Linked DNA regions of Diceros bicornis minor. The protein of the gene in region 2 purifies or fractionates together with the protein of the main gene of each other region. This does not show direct contact. Links are inferred from orthologs where the notes say so. Each region holds a gene or a part of one and is shown on either strand. Other genes may lie near its edges.

What was found.
Region 1: the proteins of KDR (region 2) and CDH5 purify together in Homo sapiens (affinity purification with western blotting; 3 studies listed by BioGRID and IntAct, with this or other methods). This does not show direct contact. The link is inferred for Diceros bicornis minor from reciprocal best matches to the Homo sapiens genes KDR and CDH5.

The regions. Positions count from the first base shown.
Region 1 is NC_080771.1:18,400,914-18,411,321, reverse strand, and holds the start of CDH5 (cadherin-5), read right to left. Parts: upstream 3,895-10,408; 5' UTR 3,843-3,894; intron 1-3,842. UniProt on the Homo sapiens protein: Cadherins are calcium-dependent cell adhesion proteins. They preferentially interact with themselves in a homophilic manner in connecting cells; cadherins may thus contribute to the sorting of heterogeneous cell types.
Region 2 is NC_080747.1:42,930,917-42,940,581, reverse strand, and holds the start of KDR (vascular endothelial growth factor receptor 2), read left to right. Parts: upstream 1-5,031; 5' UTR 5,032-5,303; coding exon 5,304-5,370; intron 5,371-9,235; coding exon 9,236-9,329; intron 9,330-9,665. UniProt on the Homo sapiens protein: Tyrosine-protein kinase that acts as a cell-surface receptor for VEGFA, VEGFC and VEGFD. Plays an essential role in the regulation of angiogenesis, vascular development, vascular permeability, and embryonic hematopoiesis.

The DNA.
Region 1 (10,408 bases), on a different chromosome or scaffold from region 2:
AGCATGGAAGGCCCAGCATGGTGTGTCCCCTGCCCACCCCTCCGGCTCTCCTCTCCCCCATCTCCATGTCCCTTCCAGCCATGAGGAGAACTAGACATTTCTGGAATTCACAGTGCTCTTCCTCTGTCCAGCAGGCATTGTGCACAGAATGCCCTTCCTTGCCGTGTCCCCTGAGTGAATGCTTTACTTCTCTTCAAGCCCCAGGCCGGCTCCCCCACAGGTCTTCTGATTGACTCCTGCCCCTAGCACAGCCTCTGTCCCTGGCCTGAGCGTCTCTGACCAGGCCGGTTCTGGGTCTGTCTCTACTCCACCCTAGCATCCAGCTCCATGGACTCCAGGCCCCTGACCTTGGGGTGTCGGTGTCCCCACTGTTGCATGTCAGCCTGCTGCGGTCTCCAGCTCTGGCTTGTCACTGCTTCCCTCCTCACTCACAGGATTTGAAACAAATCTGCGTATTTGCAGACAACACCTCGGGGGGTCAGAGCAGGGGCAATAGCTGGTATAACTCAGGGAAGCTCCTCCTCGTCCCCAGCAGCATCTCTGATGGCCCCTCACATTGTCAGACACACCACCATTAGGATTCTGATCCTTTGAGGACAACGAGATTATCCTTCTTATGGGTCCCCGGTGAACACACACGTACCCTGTGCTGGGTGCCTCTGAATGCGGGGCTGGCAAAACGGAGCTCATGGGTTGTAATTTGAAACAAATCTGTGTTGTCTTGGGGTCTCTGGGCTCCAAGATCATCCAGTCTATTCCCCTGTCTCCTAATGGGGCAACTCCACGTTCGGGGAGAGAACATCCACCCTATGGAGCCTTTTCCAGCCTTCTCTGGGCTTCCCTACTCTGATGGGGGCTGTGAGGCAGTCAGTGGGGGCAATAGAATGAACCCTACAGGCCTACCTGTTTGAACCTGCTCAGCTGCATAGGAGCTGTGTGGCCTTAGGCCCATCCCTTGCCCTCTGTGGGCCCCAGCTTCCTCATCAACCGTAGCTGCCTTCCTAGTCAGGAGGATTAAATGAGGTCAAGGGGGTGAAGCTGGCACACAGTAGGTGCTCAGTAAGTGTGCGGGTCTGTTGACCCACATCCACTCACCCTCGTCAGCCTGGTGGCTGTGGGCTCGACTGGCCGACTCACACCTGGCCTCATTTCCTGGTTCTGCCCTGGCCCCACCTCCTGCTCCCCTCTGTGCCTCTCCAGAAGGAAATCTCATTCACTGCCTGCCTGGCCTGGCCCCATGGGCCCTGCTTCCTCCTCCTCCTCGTATCTGCGCCCGCCAGGATCTGACTGTTACGCTGTGGCCCAAGACAAACAATCTGGAGGTCCCTGAATGAGGTCCATTCCCTGCCCTAGAGAGATGAGAAGACTGAGGCTCAGAGAGCAGAGGGGCTCCCCAAGACCTCCCAGCTTCCTCTGGGGCTCCTGCTCTTCTTCCAGGAAGCCTTCTATGATTTCTCCACCCAACATCAGCTTAGACCTGGGTTAGGATGGGCTTTTCAGTAGCTCTCCAGCTAGAAGCCAAGCTCCCGAGGGCAGGACTTGTCTCCTGGAACATTCCTTCCCCAGGGTCATTGGGCCTCCTGGCTTGTCCTGATACCTGCTTCTGTGGCTTGAACTGTCAGCCAACTGTGGCTGAACGGCCAGGTTCAATCTTCCTCCACTTATCCCCTCTCTGAGCTTCGCTATGGAGCGTGGCGGGGGCCGTGAGGTCAGAGGCGCTGGCCTCACTCATATCCTGCTTCCACCTTGTGCTAACTGTAACCTTGGACTGGCTGCTCAGCCTCTCTCGGCCTCTGTGGTCCCATCTGTGAAATGGAAATTCTTTTAGTAGCTTCAAGGCTGCCATGGGAGTGCAGAGAGGTGACGGATGTAGCAGGGATGGGTCCACATGGGCAAGTGGCCCAAGGTTTTTCCCTAGCTGGTGGCCAGTGTCTACCTTGTGTCCCAGAGGCAGCAGCAGAGCTGTGAGTCATCCAACTTCGGGAGAAAATAAGCCTAGCCCCCTCTGACTTCCTGCCCCCACGTCCGGCTCTTGTTCAGCAGCACAATTGCTCAGGTCAAGCCTGCATGGTGGGCAGCTTAACCTCTTCAAGGCCGGGGGATGCCACCCCTCTGCCCTCACCATAGTAAGCCGGAATTGGCAGGGCTGCCTGGGCCCCTTGGAGGTCACCTGCTGCCCTCCAGGCTGGGGCCCAAAGATGGCTGGACTCAGGCCAGACGGGGGACAGTCCCACTGCCCCCCATCGCCTGAAGATGAACCAGCGCTCCTGGGCCTGGCACTCAGGGCCTCCAGCATCACTAGCCCTCCTGGCGCTCCTGGCTCTAAAAAACCCTCTGGCCACAGCCTTCCCAAAACCTCCGAGCTGCCCAGGGTTCCTGCCTCCCCTAGAATGCCCTTCTTTCCTGTCAGGATCCTATCTGCCCACCACCCATGGCAGAAACGTCCATCGAGGGGTGTGGAGAACAAGCACAGTGCTTGGTGCAGAGTAGCTACCCAAAGTGCTGGCCAGAGGAAGAGCTGAGTCGATAGCCCCTCACTTGCACCCCCTCCGCCTCACCTGCTGGGGACTCACCGACCTCAGGGGTCAAAACCTTTATGACACTCATAGCCACGGTCAGCTCTGGGGTGGCAGGTAAATTCAGCCATGATTTCTCGAAGACTCCCCTGCTATGAGCCATTCCCGGTGCCAGGTGTGTACACTGCCTCCTTCAGGTGACTCATGAAAAGACCGTTTCCTCCATTTCCCAGATGAGAAGGCTGAGGCATGGAGAAGCTGCGTGATGCTGGAAGGAGCCTGGGCTCTGGGGTACAAGCTCCCCACTCCAGCTCTTCCTTACCTTCTCTGAAGCTCAGCCGCCTCCACTAGAGGCGGAGAAAGGATCTGTCCCACTCACTGGGTTGTTGGTAGGATAACATAATGAGCCCCTTTGGTTAAGAGCCTCCTATGCGCATCAGCTCCAGTTCCCACAGTAAATTGCAGAGACTCGCTATGTCCATTGTTCAGACAAGCAAACTGAGGTTCGGAGACACTGGAGAGTTTTCCCCAAGTCACACAGGAAGCGAGTGGTGGGGCTGGGCTCTGCGCCAGGACCACGGTCTCCAGGCTGGGCTCTCACCCTACACCGCCTGCCTTCAAGTCTTTTGGGGGAGACTTCCCTAAAATATGAGGGCTGCGGGGTCCCTTGGGCCCAGCCTTCGGTTATCTGGGTGTTGGGGGGAAGGGTGGGCCGCTTTCCCGACCACGGCTCCACAGCTGGTAGCCGTCCTGTGTGTCTGGGGCAGGGCGGGAAGGGGAGTCCGTAGGCCGGACCTCAGGTGCCCAGAGCTGAGCCTCAGCTTGCCTGTTCTGAAAGTGGGGGCACTGGCTAACGGAGGGGGGCTGAGCTCCTCTCCCAATCCCAGAGCCTTGGGGGAGGGGATGATGCCAGGCCTTGGCTAATCCTTTCCCACGGGGAAGGGGCACCGAGGGGGAGCCTAGGCCTGGGTGCCAGTCCTCCGCCCCAGTGTGCTGGGCGACTCGGGTAGAATCCTGCCCTCTCTGAGCCTGGCACCGATGGAAGCCAGTGGGCCCTCGAGTCACACCGAGTTGGAGAGTCTACATGTGGGAGAGCCGAGTCCTCACCCCCTCCCTCAGCCCTGAGAACACCTGTTCGTGGCCGGTGCCTCCACGGGGTGCACCAGCCCTGCTCTGAACCAGGAGGAGGCCGAGTCTGGCCCGAGGAGTGGATCTTCCTGAGACCCCGACCACCACCATTCTAAGATGGGGAAGCCGAGGACCTTCCGGTCCCGGGCACATGGCGATGGGTCTGGGTGGAGCGCGGTGCAGGGAGCCCTCACTCACCGTGCCCGTGGGCTGAGAGGTGTCTCCGTTCGTCTGCCTGCCTGCCTGGGGCCGAGTGTGCTCCGGAGCTCTCTGGGGCTCTGCCGACAGCTCTCGAGGGGAGCCACGCCTGGCCTGCAAGGGAGGCCTGGCCGCCGCCCCTTCAGGTTTTCCAGCTGGCCCTGGCCCACTTCCCCCGGGATGGTTTCCTGTTATTGTTCCTTTGTGAGGGCCGGGCTGGCTGCAGATAGGCAGGCCCCACAGTGGGCGGCTGCCTCGGCCCAGCCAGGCTGACCTCACAGAGGCCTAGCCCTGGACCCGGCCCGGGCCTCAGCTCTGGCGTCCTGAGCCCAGCACCTGCCTAGGGCCTTAGTTCACCCTCCCTGTAACCCCGAGGGCAGGGGTCATCACCCCCATTTTATAATAAAGCTCAGGACACTGAGACTCAGCAAGTTGAAGATGCTCGTCCACCCAGCTGGGGCGTAGCAGAGCCAAAAATCCAGCCTGGGTCAGCCTAGGCCCAGAGCCAGATTTTCCCAGGTGACCCCATGACATGCTGGGGTGGGGCCGACTTTGCAGGGGATGGGGAGGCTTCAGGGCGTCGGGGGTGGAGTGGGTGGGAGGTGGGACACAGACCACAGCTCTTGGCTCTGTGAGTTGGATCGACCTCTTCCCAGTGAGGGGGCGTGGGTTCCAGCTCTAAGGCACCAGACTGGGCTTTGGGGGGTCGTTTGGGTTTAGAAAAATCAGGTGGAGTCAAGCGCCCTGGCTCTGCTTCTGATGTGACTATGAGCCAGTCATGTCCACCCTGAGCCTCAGTTTCCTCATCTGTAAAATGTGGAAAGTCGTAGCCTGAACCTCACATGGCTATTGTGGTAAACGGGAGTCGAAGAGGGACATGAAAGATAGTGAAGCTGAAGGCCGGATCAGAGCCCGTCAGAACCAAGATGCTGCGGGGGAGGGGCTCAAATTCTGTGAGTCACGAGAGTCCTGAGGAGCTTTTATGAACTGCGGATCCCGGGGCCCCACCCCAGGCCGAGGGATGTGGAGTCTCCCAGGGCAGGCAGTGGGAGTCTGTCCTTTGACTAGTTGCCCCTCTGTTTCCGTGGATGAATGAATGGCTGGGAAGTCCCGAACCTGTTCCGTTGTACAGCTGGGCAGAGACCTGAGAGGGAGAGGCCTTGCCCAGGGGCCCTCAGTAAGTCAGTGGACACTAGTGTGGAGAGGGGGAATGGGATGGAAGAATATTTTTGGGGAGGGGGAGATAAAGATTTCTCTGTTTGGGGCACGTTGATGTTGAGATGGCCCTTACACAACCCAGTGGCGATGTCAGGTTGGCAGCTGGAGACGGGTGGCTACAGTTGAAGACAGGGGTGGCTACAGTTGGAGATGGGGTGGATACAGTTGGAGACTGGTGGAGACAGGGGTGGATACAGTTGGATACAGGGGTGGAGACAGGGGTGGGGACAGGTGGAGACAGGGGTGGGGACAGGTGGAGACAGGGGTGGGGACAGGTGGAGACGGGTGGAGACGGGGTGGGGACAGGTGGAGACAGGGGTGGAGACGGGTGGGGACAGGTGGAGACGGGTGGAGACGGGTGGGTACAGGTGGAGACAGGGGTGGAGACGGGTGGAGACGGGTGGAGACGGGGTGGGGACAGGTGGAGACAGGGGTGGGGACAGGTGGAGACGGGTGGAGACGGGGTGGGGACAGGTGGAGACAGGGGTGGAGACGGGTGGGGACAGGTGGAGACGGGTGGAGACGGGTGGGTACAGGTGGAGACAGGGGTGGAGACGGGTGGAGAGGGGTGGTTACAGGTGGAGACGGGTGGAGACGGGTGGGTACAGGTGGAGACAGGGGTGGAGACGGGTGGTTACAGGTGGAGACGGGTGGAGACGGGTGGGTACAGGTGGAGACGGGTGGAGACGGGTGGGTACAGGTGGAGACAGGGGTGGAGACGGGTGGGTACAGGTGGAGACGGGTGGAGAGGGGTGGTTACAGGTGGAGACGGGTGGAGACGGGTGGGTACAGGTGGAGACAGGGGTGGAGACGGGTGGGTACAGGTGGAGACGGGTGGAGACGGGTGGGTACAGGTGGAGACGGGTGGAGACGGGTGGGTACAGGTGGAGACAGGGGTGGAGACGGGTGGGTACAGGTGGAGACGGGTGGAGAGGGGTGGTTACAGGTGGAGACGGGTGGAGACGGGTGGGTACAGGTGGAGACAGGGGTGGAGACGGGTGGGTACAGGTGGAGACGGGTGGAGACGGGTGGGTACAGGTGGAGACGGGTGGAGACGGGTGGGTACAGGTGGAGACAGGGGTGGAGACGGGTGGGTACAGGTGGAGACGGGTGGAGAGGGGTGGTTACAGGTGGAGACGGGTGGGTACAGGTGGAGACAGGGGTGGAGACGGGTGGAGACGGGTGGGTACAGGTGGAGACGGGTGGAGAGGGGTGGTTACAGGTGGAGACGGGTGGGTACAGGTGGAGACAGGGGTGGAGACGGGTGGAGACGGGTGGGTACAGGTGGAGACAGGGGTGGAGAGGGGTGGTTACAGGTGGAGACGGGTGGAGACGGGTGGAGACAGGTGGAGACAGGGGTGGAGACGGGTGGGTACAGGTGGAGACAGGGGTGGAGACGGGTGGAGAGGGGTGGTTACAGGTGGAGACGGGTGGAGACGGGTGGGTACAGGTGGAGACAGGGGTGGAGACGGGTGGGTACAGGTGGAGACGGGTGGAGACGGGTGGGTACAGGTGGAGACAGGGTGGAGACAGGAGTGGGGACAGGTGGAGACAGGGGTGGAGACGGGTGGAGACGGGTGGGTACAGGTGGAGACGGGTGGAGAGGGGTGGTTACAGGTGGAGACGGGTGGAGACGGGTGGGTACAGGTGGAGACAGGGGTGGAGACGGGTGGGTACAGGTGGAGACGGGTGGAGACGGGTGGGTACAGGTGGAGACGGGTGGAGACGGGTGGGTACAGGTGGAGACAGGGGTGGAGACGGGTGGGTACAGGTGGAGACGGGTGGAGAGGGGTGGTTACAGGTGGAGACGGGTGGGTACAGGTGGAGACAGGGGTGGAGACGGGTGGAGACGGGTGGGTACAGGTGGAGACGGGTGGAGAGGGGTGGTTACAGGTGGAGACGGGTGGGTACAGGTGGAGACAGGGGTGGAGACGGGTGGAGACGGGTGGGTACAGGTGGAGACAGGGGTGGAGAGGGGTGGTTACAGGTGGAGACGGGTGGAGACGGGTGGAGACAGGTGGAGACAGGGGTGGAGACGGGTGGGTACAGGTGGAGACAGGGGTGGAGACGGGTGGAGAGGGGTGGTTACAGGTGGAGACGGGTGGAGACGGGTGGGTACAGGTGGAGACAGGGGTGGAGACGGGTGGGTACAGGTGGAGACGGGTGGAGACGGGTGGGTACAGGTGGAGACGGGTGGAGAGGGGTGGTTACAGGTGGAGACGGGTGGGTACAGGTGGAGACAGGGGTGGAGACGGGTGGAGACGGGTGGGTACAGGTGGAGACAGGGGTGGAGACGGGGTGGAGACGGGTGGGGACAGGTGGAGACAGGGTGGAGACAGGGGTGGGTACAGGTGGAGACAGGGGTGGAGACAGGTGGGGACAGGTGGAGATGGGGTGGAGACAGGGTTGGGGACAGGTGGAGACGGGTGGCCTGGAGATGAGGTTGGGGGGGGTTGGGGGGGACACTTAGGGCTGGCCCCTGAGGCCATGGGGCCAGCACAGTGGGGTGTCAGCTGGGTCATCCTGGGAAAAGCGAGGGCTGAGACTCGACTGCTGGGTTTGGAGGACGGAGGTCATGGATGACTGTGAGCAGTGCAGGTTAGATGGAGAGGAGCGGACAGGGTGGATTAGAGGGCCCGGGCTAGAGCAGGAGGCATGGGCGAGTAGAGGCACACGCGATCACAGCTCCTTCCCCAAGACTTGCAGTGGTGGGAGCAGAGACATGGGAGGCTTTTTGTTGTCTTTTTGAGGCTGTGGTGGCGTGTTTGTGTGCTGAGGGGGCATCCAGCAGCCAGGAAGCCAGATGATGCTGGAGCAAGGGGAGCGACCTGCTGGAAGGATAACCGTCCCGAGGCGGCCTCTGAGCGGGATCCAGCACATTCGATCACCGTTTGTGGAATGAACAAACAAAGGCTCAGACTTTCCTTCTCCAACAGGATTAACTCTGCCTTCTCCTGCCAGAGGGTGGGAAGGGCCCTTGAGGAGCCAGGACAGGCCCATGCTCTGTCCCTGGTGCCCCAGCCTGATCCCCCTCACCCCTGCCCTGCGTGAGTCTACGTGCCCACGGGGCCGGGCCTGGCCGGGCATGACTTCCTGCTGGGTCTCAGACTGGCGCAGGTGGCAGACAGGGACAGGGTCTGTCCTGGCACCATCTGCCGGTTCCCTTTGTACTCCCAGTCCGTGAGGAAGTTGACTCTGCCCTGAAGCCCGCTGTTCCTGTCATCTGTAAACAAGGGAATGGCATCCAGACTTGTGCCCCTGGGGTGGGGGTGGGGTCGCCATGCAGAGGTGGTCCAGGCCATGGGAGGGAGGCTAGTGCCCCTCAGGGCCTCCTCAGGATCTCATGCCCGATTTCTGCCACTGCCCAGCCCCTGCTCCAACACGTCTGGAGGCAAAGGAGGTAACAGGAGGGCACAAGGCCAGGAAGCGCCATCAGGAGCAGGGGAGGCAGCCGGTGGGCCGGCAGGAAACGGGATGGTCTGCGAGACCTGATTAGCAGCTGGAGGAGGAAGCAAGAATGAGGGCGGTGGGGGTGGGCTGGGGACCGTACCAACGAGGCCTGCGGACACCCACCCAGCCTCTGCCAGAACGAGAGCTGACCAGGGAGGGGGCCCTGTCACGCCCTGCTTGGAGAGGTTTGGGCTTGGGGTTGGTGGACCCGGTTCAGCTCCTACCCTGGCCCATCGCTGGCTGTGTGACCTGAGGCTGTTGACTTGCCTCTCTGAGCCTCTTCCCTCACCTGTGAAATGGGCTGCCAGTCACACTTTGCAGGGCTGTCTGGAGGGTCAAATGAGACACAGAAAATAAATGACGGTAACAACAAGCAGTTATTGAGCAGGCGTTTCTCCAAATGTGGTCTTCAGGTCGCCCGCCTCCGAATCAGCTGGGAAGTGTGGCTGAAATGCAGATTCCTGGGCCTCCCCAGGCAGGTGGAGTCAGAATGGCTGGTCACGGAACCCTGAGACCTACATGTTTGCAGCTCCTCCAGTGACGTTTTTGCATGCTCATGTCTAAGGACCGCAGCTGAGTGTGCTGGCCGTGCAGGGAGCTCTCTCCCTGGGGACTCCTCTTTCAGTCCTGAGGACAACCCTGGGGGACGGCACTATTGTTATCCTCATTACACAGACGGGGAAACAGAGACTGAGAATTAAGTGCTCCCCAAGATCACAGAGCTTGTCAGTGGTGGAACGGAAATTCCGACCCAGGCCTCTGTTTCCAAAGGCTGTCTCCTCACCCACCAAGGTTTCCTGCCCACCAAACTGTGCCTGGTGCACAGTAGGGGCTCCTCAAACCAGAGTTCCTGTTCCTTCTTCCCCAGAGTGTGGGAGGCCCAGGGATGGTGCAGGGAAGCCATGCCACCGGCTTCTGTGAAGGCAGTGGTGGTAAAGCCATGCAGCTCACGCCTCTGGGTCTTTGCCCAGGGTTGCCTTCTCTCTGCCCCCTTACCTGCTCGCAGAGCCCCCACCAGCCTTCTCGACCCAGATCTCCCCTCCGTGGCTCTCTCCTCTGCTGCTCCACTCTCTCTGTGCTCCTTGGCATTTTACAAAACCCCTTCACGGTCCAACACCTTGCTAATCTGCTCATCTCCCCTCCCTCCACTTGGATTCTGTCTCCTTTGTGTGTCTGGCGGGCGCCTGGAACAAGATGACTGGTCCAAAAATGTGGACTTGAAACCATCACTCATTAGAACGGCAGTCAGCCCCCTGCGGGCCAGATCTGTGGCTTCCTCGGGGATTGCGTGGGTGTGTAGGGCTCCCCACCCCTGCACCGAGTGGCCCTGGACCTGTATGCAAAATCCTCACAGAGAGCCCTGTGACACACAGTGTCACAGAACACGTAGGCCAGGGATCAAGTTAAGTTCTCTTGTGAGAAAGCGCCCGGAGTGTACGTGATGGGTTCTGTTGGTAGCTTGAAGCATTTTTCATTTCCTTCCTCTTTTCTCCAGATAATTGCTCCAGACACCTGTGGCTGCTGAGGACTCTGGGCATCTGAGGGTCAGACTTTCCCTGGGCCAGGGGACAAAGGGGACAGCTGAGTGTGTTGGGCTCACAGGCTGCCCACTGGCTCCTGCCTACGCGGGAGAGATGTGGCCTGTGGGCTGCGAGTGCAGGGGCTTTGTGAGCCAGCCCGCTGAGTGTGGACAAAGGGAAAATGCTCTGGCCCAGCAGGGCTTTGGGGAAGGCTCCCCGGCTGTGCCGAGGGGGTGGGCACAACCTTTGGGGGACATAGAATAGGGGTCAGCGTGGGGTTATGGGGGGCTCAGGTGGGAGGAGGAGCAGGGAAGAGGAGCAGGAGAGGGGTCTTGCCCTCAGCTGTGGTTCCACAAGGAACAGGGAGAGCTCCTCAGA
Region 2 (9,665 bases):
ACCATTCTTAATAAACCTTAACAACCATCCTTCTAAACTCAACTCCCTGCTTAGGTAAGATTCAATCTCTGCCAATTTCTTCCGGGAGGTTCTCAATTGAAGAAGACAGCTGAATAAAAAACTAAAACATATCACTTGGGAAGGACATTTGAGCTGGGTATTGAAGGATGAATAAAAGTTTTCTGGGAGACCAAAGGACCAAAAAAAAAAAAAAAATCCATGGCAGAAAAGAAATGCCCCAAATGCACAAGTGATTATGTGTATAGGAGCAGCTGCCTTTCTTTGGAGGAGAAGATCAGTGGGTTCAGGGGTTGGGTAAGAAGGTGAAGATCCAGTCTGGCTGGAATTCCTGGGCGGGATTGGGGAAGAGATCTAATTACCTGCCTTTCATTCTTCCTGGTCACCCATCTCAGAGTGATGCTCCTAAGTCACTCTTGGCCTTCCATCCACCTGAGAAAGTGGAAGGGATCATCATGAAAAGGCTGAGGAAGCTGGTAGCATCTCTTCACTCAGTCTCATCCCTAAGAGACCAGTTCTCAACAAGAAACTGTTTGTATGTGCTTGGAGGAGTCTGTCTTGGATGTTTAATATCCCTTTACTTTAAATCCTGATTCCAACTCCTATAGTTGCGGGACTTTGAAAAAGTTACTTAAACATTCTAAATCTCATCTCTCCTCCCCCTGGTTATATGAGAATAATTATAGCATCTTCTCTGTTGAGTTATTGTAAGTTATTGTGAACTCCTCCTCTCCCTCCCCCTCCTTCTGGTCCTCCTCTCCTTCTGGTCCTCCTCCTCCTCCTTCTCCTCCTCCTCCTCCTCCTCCTTCTAAAAAGCAAAGATTATCTTGACTTTCATCACATCGCTAACCAATGGCAAGAAAACTATGCAAACAGATAAAACAACTTTTTTTTTCTTTTGCAAGACTTTTAGGAAGACAAAGGAATATTTTCTTAATTTAAGAATAAGTAATTTCTTGTCTTTTCTCCTATTCTTTACTAACAATTGCCAGTAGTGCTTGCTGCCCTCATGGGGTGTTGCAAGGACGAGGCCAGGGATGAAGTGAAGCATTCGGAGCAGTGCCTGCTCAAAAGACGCGCTCAATGAGTGTTGGCCACTTTTATTATTTTTTAACATCCTTCTATGGTGTTTTGTGGATTTTCAGTTGGTTATTGAAATTACCTACATGCTTTCCACATTTAAAAATTTTCATATTTGTCCTTATGTTAGTATAACAAGAACCTATACGGGAGAATTTGGGGAGGGCACATAGGCATACATATTTATACTAACTGAAAATTTTCCTCTGCAGGTGGCAAGTAATGAAGTTCTGTTTCATCTGTTTCACAAAAAGGATGAGGGAGTTTGTTTTATATTTAATAATGTAAGACTTTATGAATAAAACCAAACACTGATAGAAACATCCAAGGCAAGCCTGGCTTTGTGGTAACATAGCCTTCTTTCCTTTGAACATACAAATATATTTTAAGTTTAAGTTAAAAATATAAATCACATAGAGAGTAAAATAAACGAGGGTGTGTAAGGAAGGTAGATAACAAGAGATAGAGAGTATGCTCATAATTTCCTGAGGCATGATAGTCATGAGTACAGATGGGCTATGAAATCAAGCCAACATCTGGCAAGGTACTCAGTCACAGGCTCTGGTAAGTTACAGCATAAACAAATATTGGAAACAAATTGAATGAAGTAAACACATGTAATCCACAATTGGCAATATTGGAAAATATAACAGCCACTAGAAGAGAGAGCTGATCTTGATTTATATTTTTTATTTGTAAAAATAATACTTTCTTGTTTTGGAAAAATGTTATAGAAATATATGATGTAAAAAGTGCAAATGCCATCCACTTGCCTCTCTGCCTCAACCATTTCCCAGAGGTAATGTCAGGACACTGACAGTGGAAAAGTCAGTAGTATTATACTAGACTGGGCATCACTTTGATTAAAATTACTTAAAACAGGAATTTTTTTATTATGGAAAATTTCAAACATGTAAAAGTAGACAGAATAGTAAAATGAACACTTATGTACTCATCATCCAACTTCCACAATTATTAACGTTTTGCTATCTTCATATTTATTTTCTAAGATATGAAGTGCAAAATACTGGTGGCGACGGAAGCAGATTTGGCATCATGGATTTAGGCAGTGTGCTTTGGTGATATAAACAATGTACATTCTGTATGCACAAAGGCCAGAGAAGTAGCTGGAGATACAGAATACTGTGTAATTAAATTTTCCCTAGGATGGAGCTATTGTGATGACAGTTCATTTATGCTCATATTGCCTTTATTTTCACCATTGTAACCCTAGTTTCTAGTACATTGCCTAGCACATAGTAGGTGCTCAAAAGCTGCTGTTGAAGGAATGAGACTTATTTGCAGTTTAGAGCTCAGCGGCACAAAGGAGACCATGCATTGTAGTATAACTAACCTTTGCAGAATGCTTCTTAATGTATATCGGGTGCTTACTATGTGCTAGGCACCTATGCTTACCAGGAGTTAGGTCCTATTCTAAGTGCCTCAGCTGCAGAAACTCATTTAATTCTTGCAAAAACCCTACGAAGAAGGTACTATTCTCATCTTTTGTTTTGGCAGACACACAACCAGTAAGTTGGTGAAGATCACACAGATAGGAAGGGGTAGATGTGGGAGTCAAGCCCAGAGTCTGTGCACTTAGCACCACTCCTTGCTGCTTCACCCCTGAACGTGTCTGAATCCCATATGGAGCACTGAGCACACTTGAGCACTTTGATAGGTGGTGGTCGTACCTGCACTGCTAGATTAACTCACAACATCACTCCTTTGCAGTGGTGCCAGATAATGGCAGGGTGTTGTACATGGAACAGACTCTTTTGTTTTTAAACAAACTTTGTCATTTTTCACGAACACAAGGCACTTCTAAGTGCTGTGTGGGAGGGAATGTGGTAGACTGATTTCATTGAGACCCTGCCAAATTCTGGTCTTGCGGCCATCAAAGACGCATCATTTCCTCCAAGACTTCTAAAGGGGGCTATTACCACAGGGCCTGCAGGTTCTGGTTTGCATTCAGAGGAGACACTATCTTCTTAAGTGAGACGTGGAAGAGGAAGTGTCATGAATTGTAAATAAGGCTGAGAGAAGAATTGTTTGGAGACGGAGGTGGGGAAAAATTGCCTTTTCCAAACCAGCTTCCATCTCCCTCCCCCTTATCCAACTTTGCCAGAGCTCATCCTGTTTTCTTTGCTAAGTTTACCAGCAGGAAGAGAGGAGTTTCTTTAAGGATACTCCTGCCCCTGACAAATAAATACCTCTGAGATTAAATATTAATACATCTATCCAGTGGAACACCATGCCACTACTAAAAAGAACAAGAAGAAGCCTTAAGAGTTGATGTAGAATGGTCTCCAAGTTATATTTTAAAGTGAAAAAAGCCAATGCTTAAACAATATTTACACCAAGGCTACCCTTTGTGGAAGAAGGAGGGTGATACACCTATATGTGCACAGAATTTGCTTGGAAAAAAGGAAAAGTAAAAATGCTTACCTCTGCCAAAGGATGCGTGTTTCATTCTAAACCTTTTTATATTAGAATTTTTTTAAACCATATACATTCATTATATTTCAGAGTTAAAGTATTCCAATTGTCAACCTGGCAAATAGAAGAGTAAATATAAAAAAATAGCGGAAGAAAAGCAACACTTTACATTAATTGTGTATTTCAGGAGGAGGGGCTGGGACTAGATGTAAAATAATAATTCTACCTCTTCATCTCCCTGAAGGATAGTCCTTTAAGTTGTCATTAAAAAGCACTTGGGAAGGAAGAGACAGAGGGATCTGGAAGATCTCTATTTAGTGAAGTTAGGGGACATTTGATGTCACTGCCCAGGTGTGGGGAGAAATGGAGAGAAAATGAGAACGAGCAAATGTGGTCAGAAAGGAATCCGAGTTCTCCTCCAAACAGAGCCACAAGGACACGTGCGGAGAGAGCTGTGAGGTTTGGTACAGAGTGTTCTGGGTGCCCAGGGTCTGGGAGCCGTCGCTTCATTGCTTCTCCAGTGAAGCCCACCGCGGCTGGTCCTCCTCCCCCTTGGCCTAAGGATATCTTGGCTGGAAGCGCTGCTCTGAAAAGGGGCCTGGCCAAAGGCCCAACAAGAGTCACGCTAGGGGAGTCTTGTCAGGTAACTCAGTGGACAAAAGCCCTTTTCAAGGAGGGCCTCATTCGAGGGATGGGTGACCGTCACGCCGCGGGTACGCCAGAGCCCTGGGTACCTCCAGCTCCCCGGTGGCCTGAAGGACGTTTTTGACGAAAGCCAGATAGGGGGTCTCAGATTTAAATGCCTTTTGAGGCTGGGCAGTTAACGTAACATTCGAAGCCACCAGGTCTAAGAGGAAATAGCAGGAACTTGGGAGAACTGGGCAGGTATATATTCTGACCAAACGCACTCAGATTCAGATTTTTTAAACTACAACTGTGCTGGCCAAGCAAAACACTCGTACTGGCTGGAGTCACTGCCAGATTGCGATCCTGCATTCGTCTCGGCTCAGTATCCGCTTCTCCCGCGTTGCTTCAACCTGCTGCAGATCCTCCGCCCGTCCCGCAGCCACTTCAGGCGCGCGCCGCGCCGAAGAGCGTCTCAAACTTCGGCGCGCCTCCTGAGGGCGCAGTGGCCCTCGCTGCGCTCCCGGTGTTGCTCCCCAATACCTCGGGGGCCAGCAACCGACTGAACTTTGGAGTGGCTCAGGATCCGTTACGGGCTACATTTTATTTCCGCCAGAAACGGAGTTGTAGCGCCCGGGACGTTCTCCCTCGGGCGACTCGGAGCCAGGCGCGGTCCCGGGCAATTGGGGAGATAGGAAGAAACAGCGAGCGTGGGAAGCGCGGGATCCTGGCCGGGTACCCGGCTGAGGGGCGGGGCCGGCCGCAGAGGGGCGCCCCGCCCCGGCCCCGCCCCGCATAGCCCCGCCCCCGCGCTCTAGAGTTTCGGCTCCCGCTCCCACCCTGCACTGAGTCCCGGGACCCCGGGAGAGCAGGCGGTGGGTGTTTTGTGTATCCTCTGCCCGCGCGGGGCATCACTTGCGCGCTACAGAAAGCCCACAGCCATCCTGCAGCCGGGATATCCTCTCCTACCGGCACCCGCAGACACCCCTGCGGCCGCGGCCGGAGCCGGGGCACCCTCGCGCCGTGCGCTGCGGCGTCTTGCGCTGCGGCGCGCGTTCCACCTCCGCGCCTTCTTCGCGGGGCAGGCCCGGGGAGAGAGAACCGGCGTCCGAGTTCTGGGCACTGCGCCCGGCGCGAGGTGCGAGATGGAGGGCAAGGCGCTGCTGGCCATCGCTCTGTGGCTCTGCGTGGAGACCCGGGTTGCCTCTGTGGGTAAGGAGCCCACTCCCTAGAAGGAAGGCGGAGACGTCGGGTGCGGGCGGAGAGACGGGGATGCAGAGAGGACCCGGAGGCCGGATCTAACTCAGAATCATAGAGCTGGAGCGTGGAAAGTGACTTGACACTTTGTGTTCTTTCATTTACCAGTGAGGAAACTGAGGCTTGCGGACTGGCCCAGGGTTACTCAGCTAGTTGGTGGTCTCCTGAGCCCAGTTCCTTTTCCATGACTCTGGTCTCCTACAGGGGCCTCGGCTGGAGCGAGTCCTGCGGAGCCAACACACCCTCGGGCTCTCGGGAGGCGGAGGTGGGAAGGCGCCCCGGGCTGGCAGGCAGGAGGTGCCCGCAGGCGGGAACAGGAGGTGAACAGTTGTCAGGCTGCGCGCCCCATCCTAGCCCGGGCGCGGGGAAGAAGGCCTTGCAGGGAGCGCAAGCCAGTTCGCTCGGATCGCACCGTGCACTCAGTCCGCCTTTGTAGGAGTCAAGCTGTAGGAACCCCGGTCGGCTGTTCCCTTTCGCTCGAACTCACATACCGACTGTATGTGGTGGGGTCCAGGGGGAGGGAAACTTTTTTTCCCCTTGGCGCAGGATGCCGTTCTCTTCGCAGAGAGAAGGGGAAATTGGGGCTTGGACCCAGGGCTGTGACAGCTTCCCAAAGTGTCTCCAAGTAACAGTCAGCTTTGTAAAACAATTTAACATCTTTCAAAACGCTTTGGTCCTTGGGGTAAGCGCATGGTCAGAAGTTCACGTTCTGAAAACTTACTCTGCGAGACTTGGTACCTAGAATGAGCGCCACTCGTCACTCTCCTTGCCACCTAAAATTTCAGTCTCCTTCAAGACTTGGAACACATATGCTCTTGATGCAATAAATTCTTTCTTTTCTTTCTTTCTCTCTTTCTTTTCTATAGCCACAGTCTGCTGATTTCCAGATTTCCACTGTTTGGACGGTGAGAAAGGAAAGAGGGTGGAGAAAGGAAAAAAGAAGTCAAATAATTCAGGGAAAAAAATTCCTTATATCGAAAGGAAAGAATCACATGTCAAAAAAAAAAAAAAAAGACACGCACACTCATATACAGTACCCAGATCATCTGTCTATAGTTATTGAATTTTCTTAATAATGACTTGGTTCATCAGGGCCAGCTCCACCATGGACACTCATTTGTCCCTGACAACCTCTCTCTCCCCCTTAATGGGAGAGAATGAAAGTCTGGAACGTGTGGTTGTTCTGTATCCCACAAAGAAGTGAGTTGCTTTTAAGCCTGGGGTGTTTCATAGCGCAGCAGCAGTAACTGTAACGGGTTGCCCTGAATATAACGATGAGGTTGCCCTTTGGAGTGTGTGACTTGCTTAATTGGATTGGGCTATAATTGGTGCCATCAAATTCTAGAGACAGAGGCACTGTTGTTTTTCCTTCCCGTCTTTGAGCTGGAAGGGTAATAGTGCACAAATTAATTAATTTTGGTTATGGGATTTGAACATAGAAGGGCTTTTTATTGAGTAGCAGCATATGTACTTCTTATAGTTATTTCTTTAGAACTTTCTGAAGAGTAGAACTCAAACTTGCCAATGAAAATGAATGAAGCTTAATGGAGCAAAAAAATTGACTGTTGGTCTACAGATATGAATTTGAAGTTGTTATTGATAGCCTTGTTGAATAGTTTTTTTGTTGGAGACATGTCTCTGGAATAGTATGGTGTTGTCTTGGCTTCCTATGAATGGAGAACATATCTTTTTTTTTTTTTTTTTTACATTGGAAAGTATGTCTAGAGTGTGAGATAATCTGTGGCGATAATTTGTGAGAGATCTTCAAGAATCTCTTGTTTTGGTGGTGGGGAGAGCATAGCTTATTTAGAGCTTAGTTTTTACTACCGTTTTTTTCTCACATGAATGTGCCCAAATAATGGGTTCTTTCTCATTTGATCGTTGTGCAAAGTATAATAAGTTAGTGTAAGTTAGTGTTTTCAACATGTTTCTCAACCTAGTGTTTCCCAGTCAACTTTGGTATCTGTGCTCATCCAAATGAATTGTTTTCATTTTTCTTTTCTTGGGTAAAGTGGGACTCCGTTATTGGAAGGCTTTTCTTTTACTTTTAAACATTTTGCTTTATTGTTGGCTTGCTTTGGGGGCAGTTGCTTCCTTCATATTGAAAAGCGCTGTGCTGATTAACTGAGCATGGCCACCCAGGCCAATAGCTGTCCAAGAGTGGCCCACAGACCGTGTATAATCGACCTGCTTGTTAAAATGCAGATCTGTAGGCCTAGGGACATTCCGACACATGCTAAAGCTTAAGAACTCCTGCCCCAAACACAAGTCAGTATCAATGCCAATTAGTTCCTGAAATTTACTGATATAACTTAATTTCTAGGTTTTTTTTTTTTTTTTACTATGATATTGATCAACAAACATACAGTTATGTCAGCAACCTATTTTTGCACTCTGGGTGAGTATGTGAGAACATGCCTGATCAGTTGTTCACTTTGCCTGCAGCTTTAGAGTTCACAGATTCAATGCATTGGATATTTGCACTGGATATTTGCTTATACTCTCTCATATTTGCTGATACTCTCTTATTTACCCAACAAGGTCAATGCCAGTTTAGGCCTAGAGAGTCATTTGTTCTTACTTGATGTGAGTGAAGGGTCATATTAAGCTCGGATGCTTACGCAGCGTCAGTCACTTTTTTTGTGTGTGTGAGGAGGTTGGCTCCGAGTTAACATCTGTTCCCAATCTTCCTCTTTTTGCTGAGGAAGATTGTCCCTGAGCTAATATCCATGCCAGTCTTCCTCTATTTTGTATGTGGGATGCTGCCACAGCATGGCTTGATGAGCAGTGTATAGGGCGGTGCCCAGGATCCAAACCTGTGAACTCCTGGCCGCAGAAGCGGAGCGCATGAACTTAACTACTACGCCACCGGGCTGGCGCCTATCACTCACTTTTTAAGGTGGTGTTTGAAGATCTGGATATCAGTTAAGGCCCTAGCATGGTAGACAGCTTTTCTTTCTTTGATGCTTTTTCAATACCTGGGAACTCTTCCCATTTAGTTGACAGAGAGTTCAGTTTTCTTGCTGTGGAGTGACCCATGGTGAAGAATTGATTTCATGGTATTTTTAGGTAAAGACAGGTTTCTTGTGTTCCAAGCTTGGTATCAAGAGGAGCTCAGAGCTTTGATTAATAAGTTGAGATTCCCCAATTGTAATTCATTAGCGTTACACTCTTTTTAGTCCCGCTCTTTGGGGAAAAGTATGTTAATAGGCATATTATATGACATTGGAAAATGTTTTCTTTCCCTCAATTCCTCTCCCCTAGTTTTAGTGTACAGTCTTTCAACCTTGGCAGTTCAGTTACCAGAGGAAGTGCACTCGAAAATTGGTAAAGGAAAATAAGACAAGGTCACGGACACTCCCACCCCCTTCAGGGTACATGGATGAACTATATAGAAATGTCTCTAAGTAGTATTCGTTAATCAGCAATTTAGTTGAATGTGTGCATCCTATGTTTTATAAGAAATGTCAGTGGGTCCTTTCCCAAGGGAGTGAGATCATCAGATGAAGGTTCATTTAATTTCAATGTCCCATATCCTTTTGTGAGACCTTGAAGTTGGCAATGCAGGAAAACAGGAACTCCACCCGAGCTCCATGAATTGCAGAACTGTTGTGTTGGTTTATGACCATCTGCCCATTCTTCCTGTTATGACACAGCTTGTGAACTTTTACTGGGAATGGTGAAAAGTAAATTCACAGTTTTACACAATGAATTGCTGAAGAGGCCTTTTAAAGTATAGAGTGTGCATTGTTTATGGAAGGTGTTTCCTATTGGGTCTGACTCAGGGGCAACTACATTCGTTTATTTAATTTGTTTCTAGGTTTGTCTAGTGTTTCTGTTGATCCACCCAGGCTCAGCATACAAAAAGACATACTTACTATTATGGCTAATACGACTCTTCAAATTACTTGCAGGTAAGGATTCATTTTAGATTCAGATTTCCTGTGTTAAATAACTCATTGTTTATTGAGGGAAAAATAATTTCCATACGGCAGAATTATAATAGAATTGTAGTAATTGTATTTAAGTAGTGAGGTTTCTAAGAACTGATATAATAATGAAGAAATGAGACAGGTCTTCTCCCAAAAATTCTGTACAGTTTTGCTGGCTTTTTTTTCCTACTACTCTCTGCCAACACACACACACACACACACGCGTGCGCGCCCACACACACACACACGCCAGTAACCAGCATAGCACCCGGCTTGTGATATATAGTATACACTCAATAAATATTGAGTGAATAAATG